Linked DNA regions of Nothobranchius furzeri. The protein of the gene in region 1 purifies or fractionates together with the protein of each later gene. This does not show direct contact. Links are inferred from orthologs where the notes say so. Each region holds a gene or a part of one and is shown on either strand. Other genes may lie near its edges.

The links.
Region 2: the proteins of eif3m (region 1) and eif3ba purify together in Homo sapiens (affinity purification with mass spectrometry; 8 studies listed by BioGRID and IntAct, counting the BioPlex papers as one, with this or other methods). This does not show direct contact. The link is inferred for Nothobranchius furzeri from reciprocal best matches to the Homo sapiens genes EIF3M and EIF3B.

Annotation. Positions count from the first base shown.
Region 1 is NC_091749.1:32,399,065-32,403,521, forward strand, and holds the start of eif3m (eukaryotic translation initiation factor 3 subunit M), read left to right. Parts: upstream 1-1,557; 5' UTR 1,558-1,670; coding exon 1,671-1,712; intron 1,713-2,297; coding exon 2,298-2,430; intron 2,431-2,680; coding exon 2,681-2,819; intron 2,820-2,899; coding exon 2,900-3,023; intron 3,024-3,110; coding exon 3,111-3,205; intron 3,206-3,381; coding exon 3,382-3,465; intron 3,466-3,539; coding exon 3,540-3,639; intron 3,640-4,457. UniProt on the Homo sapiens protein: Component of the eukaryotic translation initiation factor 3 (eIF-3) complex, which is required for several steps in the initiation of protein synthesis.
Region 2 is NC_091744.1:16,233,238-16,236,572, forward strand, and holds the end of eif3ba (eukaryotic translation initiation factor 3 subunit B), read right to left. Parts: coding exon 3,184-3,335; intron 3,109-3,183; coding exon 3,036-3,108; intron 2,939-3,035; coding exon 2,816-2,938; intron 2,737-2,815; coding exon 2,658-2,736; intron 2,608-2,657; exon of another isoform or gene 2,530-2,607; intron 2,458-2,529; coding exon 2,319-2,457; intron 2,241-2,318; coding exon 2,115-2,240; intron 2,084-2,114; exon of another isoform or gene 1,999-2,083; intron 1,926-1,998; coding exon 1,848-1,925; intron 1,695-1,847; coding exon 1,586-1,694; intron 1,508-1,585; coding exon 1,407-1,507; 3' UTR 1,395-1,406; intron 1,234-1,394; 3' UTR 696-1,233; downstream 1-695.

The DNA.
Region 1 (4,457 bases):
TCACATGCACCTGGAGCTTCAAAGCCTGCAGAACTCGTATTCAGGACTTGAAATACACCAGGCGCTTGACAACAGTTGTTAATCAGATAATGAAAGTCTTAGATTTACACAAGCACTCTTGCAGAGAAGCAGCAATAATTTTTTGCCATGGCAGCCTACAAGGGTGGGGAGAAAGTGGAGGTGGGATTTGGTACCAGGCGCTTGCCTTCCCAACAGAATGACGCATCTAGTGATCTCTGTGGTGAAACACTCCATCAGCCATTTCCCCTCAGCACATTATTTTGGGCAGTTTGTGCCTTGATGAATGTAACAGAGTCAAGTTCCCTTTTTGTGTAAATGCTAACATAAATACACGACAAGCAGACTTTCGGAGGAATTACGACACGGCGTGATGTGCCTCTATAGCCAATGAATCCTCAAAGTACACATATTTCCTGACAAGATGAGCTGTGAGCGGTGATGCAAGGAAATGAAAAACAGGATCTTCACCACGGGACAAAAGCCTGCTCGCCACCCAAACATCTGTAACCCGACCCCACAGTCTAGGGATGACCTCTTGCTCCACTTGCCCTGCTCACCTCAATCAGCGAGTGATCTGCCATTGTAACAATACGCAGGGTCCCATTTGGTACAGAGGCCCTACACGTGCACACATAGGTCAATGGGTGTCTGGTGGAGGAGAGCTGCCCTCTGACATCTCTGGCTTGGAAAGCTCTGGGTCAGTCCTTCTGCGGTGGTCCACAAAGACAGACTGGGGTTTAATCAGATAACTTCTTCAGGGAATCACCTCAGTAACTCAAATCCAAAACATCCACAGTTAATCTTCCAGAGGAGAGATTGACATTCAAATAAAAGTCTGGACTTAGTTGAGGGAAGCCTATGTGACTAATGAAGATTATGATAACTGGTGTGGAAAAACTAAATAACTAAAACATTCTAACTCTTGCTCACAGTACTCATAGTTGTCAAGAGTGAATTCATTTAACATATAAAATAAAGAAACAAATGACAGGCTGGTCCTCACGTGTTGCTGTCTGCATGATTTCTGTTTTTCTGCACCAGCACACCTGGTTGGAATCAAACTTCTGAAGAAATTGATGATATGCTGAAGAGGTTATTCAATACTTAAATAAAGTGCGTTAGAGCAGGAGAATATATAAAAAGTGCAGGACAGTGTCACTCCAGAACTGGGATTCAAGTTAACTGCATGAGTCTCGCATGTAATACATGGACATTTGCACTTCCAGATAAACGGAATGATCAAGGATTTAAACTGAAGACACAATTCACCAACAACTGTGTTTTTAAAGCATAAATATGATCAAAAATGTAAAAGAGTACTAAGAAAAAATTCTATGTGGTAATTATGTTTTTATTTAGCAATTACCTAATAAAATATTGGTTATTTGTGATAAATAGAAGTAGAGTGATATAAAGTGGCGCTAGGGAATTCAAAAAAAGAATCAACAATTTTTTATTTTTCATTTTATTATTATTATTATTATTTTTACTTTACGCGATCCCAGATACATTTTAAATTACTGTCTCTTTAAGAGAATGACCCGGAAGTGTACAGACGTGACCGGCATTGTAGCGCTTTCCTTTCCGGTTACGTCTCAGCTTTGGTAGGAGCGTGGATTTCATCTTCTAGGCTCAAAATTCACCAAAACATGAGCGTTCCGGCATTCATTGATATAACCGAAGAAGACCAGGTCAGATATAGATGTTTTAAATAAATATTTCATCACCGTTCCTCCAAAACTAGTTAGAAACTGAAAGCTTTTCCAGATAATTTAGCGCTTTAGCTTGCTGTATGCTAACATGTTTAGCTGCTGACAGGCACCTTTTGAATATGTACGTGAGTAAATATAAAAAACGAAATGTTAACTTTTACATGTAATTTATTTAAGCAAGCTGCTGTGAGTGATTTTTATCTGAAATAATTTGCGGTCCATGATGTTTATAAAGTTAGTTATAACGCTTTAGCAATGACTGCTAATATTGTAGCCATATAACTATAAACAAATGGGTACAATAAAGAATAAGAATTAAAAGGCAGCAAGTTAGGCATTCTCATAGTTTTTAAATGACTGATTCATAATTATACAAACTAAGCTTTCATAGTGCACAAGAAAATGTAGGACAGTATCTTTATTTTATGCTAAAACAAATACAAAATCCACTGTTAACTATATATAGGATAGTGTTAATGGGTGAGCATTGCTCCTGGACACTGTGTGTGATTATGGTATAATTCAGCCCTAATTAACTCAAAGGAAAATACGTTTTTGTTGCAGGCTTCAGAGCTGAGGGCCTATATCAAGGCCAAAGGAGCTGATATTTCAGAGGAGAACTCTGAAGGTGGACTTCACGTTGATCTTGCTCAGATCATCGAGGCGTGTGACGTCTGCCTCAAAGATGATGATAAAGGTTGGTGATGAAAATTAAGACATGAACAGACTTTTTTTTAATGGTGCAGTTGATTAAGTATGTGTCAGTGTTTAATTTGAAATCTATAAACTGGCTCGTGTCAGTTTTGAAATAAATAAAAATACAGAAATAACACATGGATTTGCCAAATGTATCACTAATTACACCCCTGCAACACAAATAGGTGATATTACACCGAGTGAATTGTTTTTATCTCCTGATTTTCATTCACCCGTTCGTTCCCCCGCAGATGTTGAGAGCGCAATGAACAGCATCGTGTCTTTGCTGTTGATACTGGAGACAGAGAAACAGGAGGCTCTCATCGAGAGTCTGTGTGAGAAACTGGTAAAGTTCCGTGAAGGAGAAAGGCCCTCCCTCAGGTTGCAGCTGTAAGTTCTGCCCCTCATTTGAGTGTTTCAACAAAAGTTACCATTAAAAGATCAGATTGTTTGATGCTGTGGTTTTAAAGGCTGAGCAACCTGTTCCACGGCATGGACGAGAACACTCCAGTGAGGTACACCGTCTTCTGCAGCCTCATCAAAGTGGCCGCCGCCTGTAATGCCATTTCCTTCATACCCACTGACCTGGATCAGGTAAATCTATGAGATGCATTTGTTTTTAGCTAAAAGAAGACTGCGTTGATATCTGCAGAGGTGATATTTGGCTTTGTCTCTACTTAGGTGCGTAAGTGGATCATTGACTGGAGCCTGAACACCGAGAAGAAGCACACACTTTTGAGGCTGGTCTATGAAGCACTGGTTGACTGCAAAAAGAGGTAAAACCAAAGATCAGACATGCATACTTTAAAAAGTAGGAAGGACATGTAGGAAGCTGTTGTATGTTTTCTGTGGGTTTTTGTGTGAATAAAAACATTGGATCATTGTCATGCATACTCATTGGTATTAGTGTGCTTCATTAGAAGACTTTTCAGACGTTTTACTTCTTTAACAGCGAACCTGCAGCAAAAGTCATGGTCGAGTTGTTGGGAAGTTACACAGAAGACAACGCTTCACAAGCACGTGTTGATGCTCACAGGTAAACTCAGAACCATTTTCATTTGTTTTTAAAACCGTGCCTCTCCTTACAAACAAGCATCTCCGCTCTTGTAGGTGCATCGTCCGTGCTCTCAAAGACCCCAACACCTTCCTGTTTGACCACCTGCTCACCCTGAAACCGGTTCGCTTTTTGGAAGGAGAACTCATCCACGACGTAGGTGTTGCAGGATGTTTTATATATGTATTTATAAAGTTTTTTATTAATAAAGTATATCGGAAATATTTGCCTTTTGGGGCTGCACAGTGGTTAGTGGTTAGCGCTGTTGCCTTGCAGCAAGAAGGTCTTGGGTTCAAATCCTGCCCTGGGGTCCTTTTGCATGGAGTTTGCATGTTCTCCCTGTGCATGCGTGGGTTCCCCTCGGGTACTCTGACTTCCTCCCACAGTCCAAAAACATGACTGTCAGGTTGATTGGCTATTCTAAAAAAATAGTCCTTAAGTGTGTGTGTGTGTGCACGCGCGCGGTTGTGTGTCCTGTGTGTCACTGTGTTGCCTTGCGATGGAGTGGCAATCCTTCCACGATGTACCCCACCTGCTTGCCCAAAGACTGTGGAAGTAGGCACCAGCCGCCCATGACCCTGTGTGGAAAAGCATGTAAAGAAAATGAATGGATATTTGCCTTTTAGTGTCTTTCATAGCCTTGAAATTGGAAAAATAAAAAAAAAGTCAGTCATGTTTATTAACTATCACCAGGACTTCCTGAACGAGTGGAATCAAAGAAACTAGTGTTTACTTTAGCTGTAATGTTAACCAGAGTTTTGACAAGTTTTACTGTAGATCAGGATTCTGCAACTCGCTGTCCTGGAGCCACAGGTCACTATGACTCAACTTTGGCTAGAAATGAGAATAAAGTAACTGTAACGTAGAAATATATTTAAAAGTAGGTGTAATAGATTTTCATGGAATAATTCCATTGAATATTAGTTCAATTTAGTTTTATTTATATAGCGCCATAACACAACAAGAGTCGTCTC
Region 2 (3,335 bases), on another chromosome or scaffold:
TGCTTTAGAAAACCTTTAAGTATAGCTTTGACTGTGAGATGACATCGCTAAACTCCAGCTCATGTCCAAGCTACTTGTTAGGCCTATCGGGAACTATACTAGATTAGTTTGCCGCCTATTTGTCCAAGTATTTCATCTCTTTGGCAAGTTTTGGTTCTTCCCCACCTCCCTTGCTCATGGGGTTCCACAAGGTTATGTGCTGGAGTCAATACTGTTCCTCCTTTATCTGCTACCCCTTCAGCACTCTGAGGTCCTTTTAAGGAATCTCCTACCATCCTCATGTAAATGACACCCAACTGCACATCCTCTTTAAACCCCATGAGATGTCCAAGCTGCAGCTGTCACACATCTGCTCACTCCATTAAAATCTGGATGGCTGGTAACTTTCTACAGCTGAATGAAGACTGAGATCCTAATCTGTGCCCCAGACAAGCTGGTTCTCAGAGACTGTCAGCTTGTTTCTCACACCAAACCCTGTCTGGAATCCTGGTGACCTTTGACCCAGCTCTTACTTTGGACTACCATGTCAGTTCTCTAGATCGCTCTTCCTTCTTTCACCTCAGGGACATTGCTAAACTTAGCCCTAATCTGAATTTGTTATCCACAGATTCATTCAAAAACCCTTTGTTGCATTTTGACAAATTTTAATAAAACAGGACAAAACTTGTTTAAGACACAAAAACAGAACAGAGGAGTACTTGTGTTAGAATGTTTATTTAAAGTTATTCCCACTGCGCACCCCCTCCCTGTGTGAAAGCCTAATCTGAAAGGAGGAGGATACAGGCCACTATAACGCCACATCAGCACATTTGTTGACAAGGCTACTGGTTTTGACTCAACACCTTCCTCATGCACTGGTTTGACACTCTGTGCTGCGCTGTAGCAACACACCAGCATGATGAGGCCTGTTCAGAATCAATCCCAGGAGGAAGAAGGTCCACTAAGATAGGGCTGAGAGTTTTGACTCCAACCAATGTTTAAAAATGAAGGCAGTTTTACTAAATTTCCAGTTCCACAAAGAAGAAAATGGCAATTGTGAGGCAGAGAAATAATTTGGATAGCTTCTCTTTTTCCTCAATGTGGCTGCTGATCCACAAGACGTTGATTTGATGATGCCACTAAAAGAAAACCTGAGGCTCGAGACGAACCCAACGTTTGTCACAGTGAGGCCGTCGTCCTTCTCCAGTCAGTGACACCGCTCCTATCCTCTCCTTCCACACAACAACAGATGGACTAAAGGAAGATCAGAGTAGCACCAAATCACACCATTGATACAGACACCAAGTGCAAAGCAACTAATTATAATAGAAAGAAAATGGGCTGTTCCAGTTATTCCAGCATAACACTGGACCAAAACACCAGTGGCCATGTTTGTTACACGTATCAAGTGTTACCTGCGTAGCGGACTACAGATCTCCGAGGGGAATGATTTCTTCGTTGATAAAAAACTCAATGGTCTCCTCCTCCCAGTCGTCCACGTTGCTGTCAAGCTCATCAGTGTCCACTCCTGGAAGACCAAACCATCCAAATGTTAAAATGAAGCACAGAGGTCATCGAGGTCGAGCTTGTAAAAGCAGAGCCCCACCTCCTCTGAGCTCAAGGCGGAGGTTCTTCTGTTCTTGATAGTTCTGCAGCGCCGCCTCCCTGTAGTTACGGTACTCCTCCATCATGGCTCTGCGCTTGTCCACCAGCTCCTACGCTCACAAACACACATTTGTATGACTTCAGCAGTGAAGAAAATTAAGTGTCGGCAGACTCAAGCTTTCAAAGATGAAGGAGATAACATGAATGTACAGATCTGTACTTCAATGAAGAGTAAAATGTCAAAAAGGAGGAACAGGTCAAACCTTTGAAGCCTTGGACTGGCTCAGACGATCCTTCTGCTCAAAGATCTTTGAGTATTTCTTAAGATCCTTTTTGATCATCTGCAAGGGAAAACACAAGTTAATTAGGACTGTTCTAAAACAAGGAGGTTGAAATGTCATGTCAAGTATTTATGAGCCTCAGATCAGAAATAGAATCAGGAGCTGGAGTGCAGCTCTCATACGAGGTGTCAGAAAGTTTTTATCTGTCATCACCGGCTCCAGACACACATTTTACAGGCAAACTGGTACCTTAATCTGATCTATGCTGAGCAGAGTGGGAGGTCTGGGCCTCCAGAGCAGCTGACAGAACCGGTCCTTGTTGTTCTTCTGGAGGAGACGGCCCTGGAAGGTCCATAGCCAGTACGCGTTGTCCACCTAGACAAATGAGTCCAAAAGAAGGGATGAGTTTAAACAGAAGAGAAGAGCGAGTGAGTTTGTGGAAGCAGGACACACCTTGTGGCTCCACCAGGAGACGGAGGTAACGACGTATCGGCCGGTCGGGTCCCATTCTACGTCAGAGGCCATGTAGTGCTCTGCTATGTTCATCAAGGTGCAGTCAGAGGTATCCACGAAGGCTAGAGCGCCGTTCATACTGAACACAGAGGCAAAACAAAGACTTGGTACTGGGGCAGGTGCAAGAGGTGAAAGGTGAAAGAAAAGATACAAGCCTCAGAACAGCATTAGAATCAGGAGCAAAGCTCTCATATGAGGTGTCAGAAAATAAAGTTTATCATCAGCGGCTTTTGAGAGAAAACACACACACACACACACACACACACACACACACCCTACCTTCTGAGTCCAGCCAGCACCATAAACTGTCCCTGGGGGCTCCAGAAAATGCTGTTTGCCTGCTGTTTGTCAAACATTTCTGTAAAAATAATAAAAATTACAAGAGGGAGTAAAGACACTAAAAAAACGACTTTCGCTCATCTGCCCAACCAACTGACTTATGAGCTCGATCTTCCCGTTGTTTTTGACGTGATAGAAGGAAGCGTTGATTCTGGGAGACTCTCCGTGGAGAACAGCAAACTTGCTGCCGTTGGGCTCCCAGGCAAATGCGATGATGCTTTCTAAGAAGACAGGACACGAACGGATCGCATTAGATTACTTCTATAAAATAAAACGGTCAAAAATAGATGCAAAAATGCTTCTTTTTTTTGCTCTCACCCTTCATCTCCACGACATCTACAGGAACCTGCTTCTCTCTCATTCGGAAGATTTCAAAGTTGGTGACAACACCCTGGAACCGAACAGAGATGGGCCTTTTATCGTAAATCCAATAAGATATAAAGACAGTCTATCTCTGGCTGCATACCTGAGTTCCTTTGGGAGTCCTGTCCACTTTCACACACAGATAATCTCCATTTCGCTGCCAGTGCAGTTTGCAGTCAACTACATTGAAGAGATTACGAACTCTGATCTCTTGACGAGACGGCATCTGCATCAGGGTGACTCTAGCTGGGATGT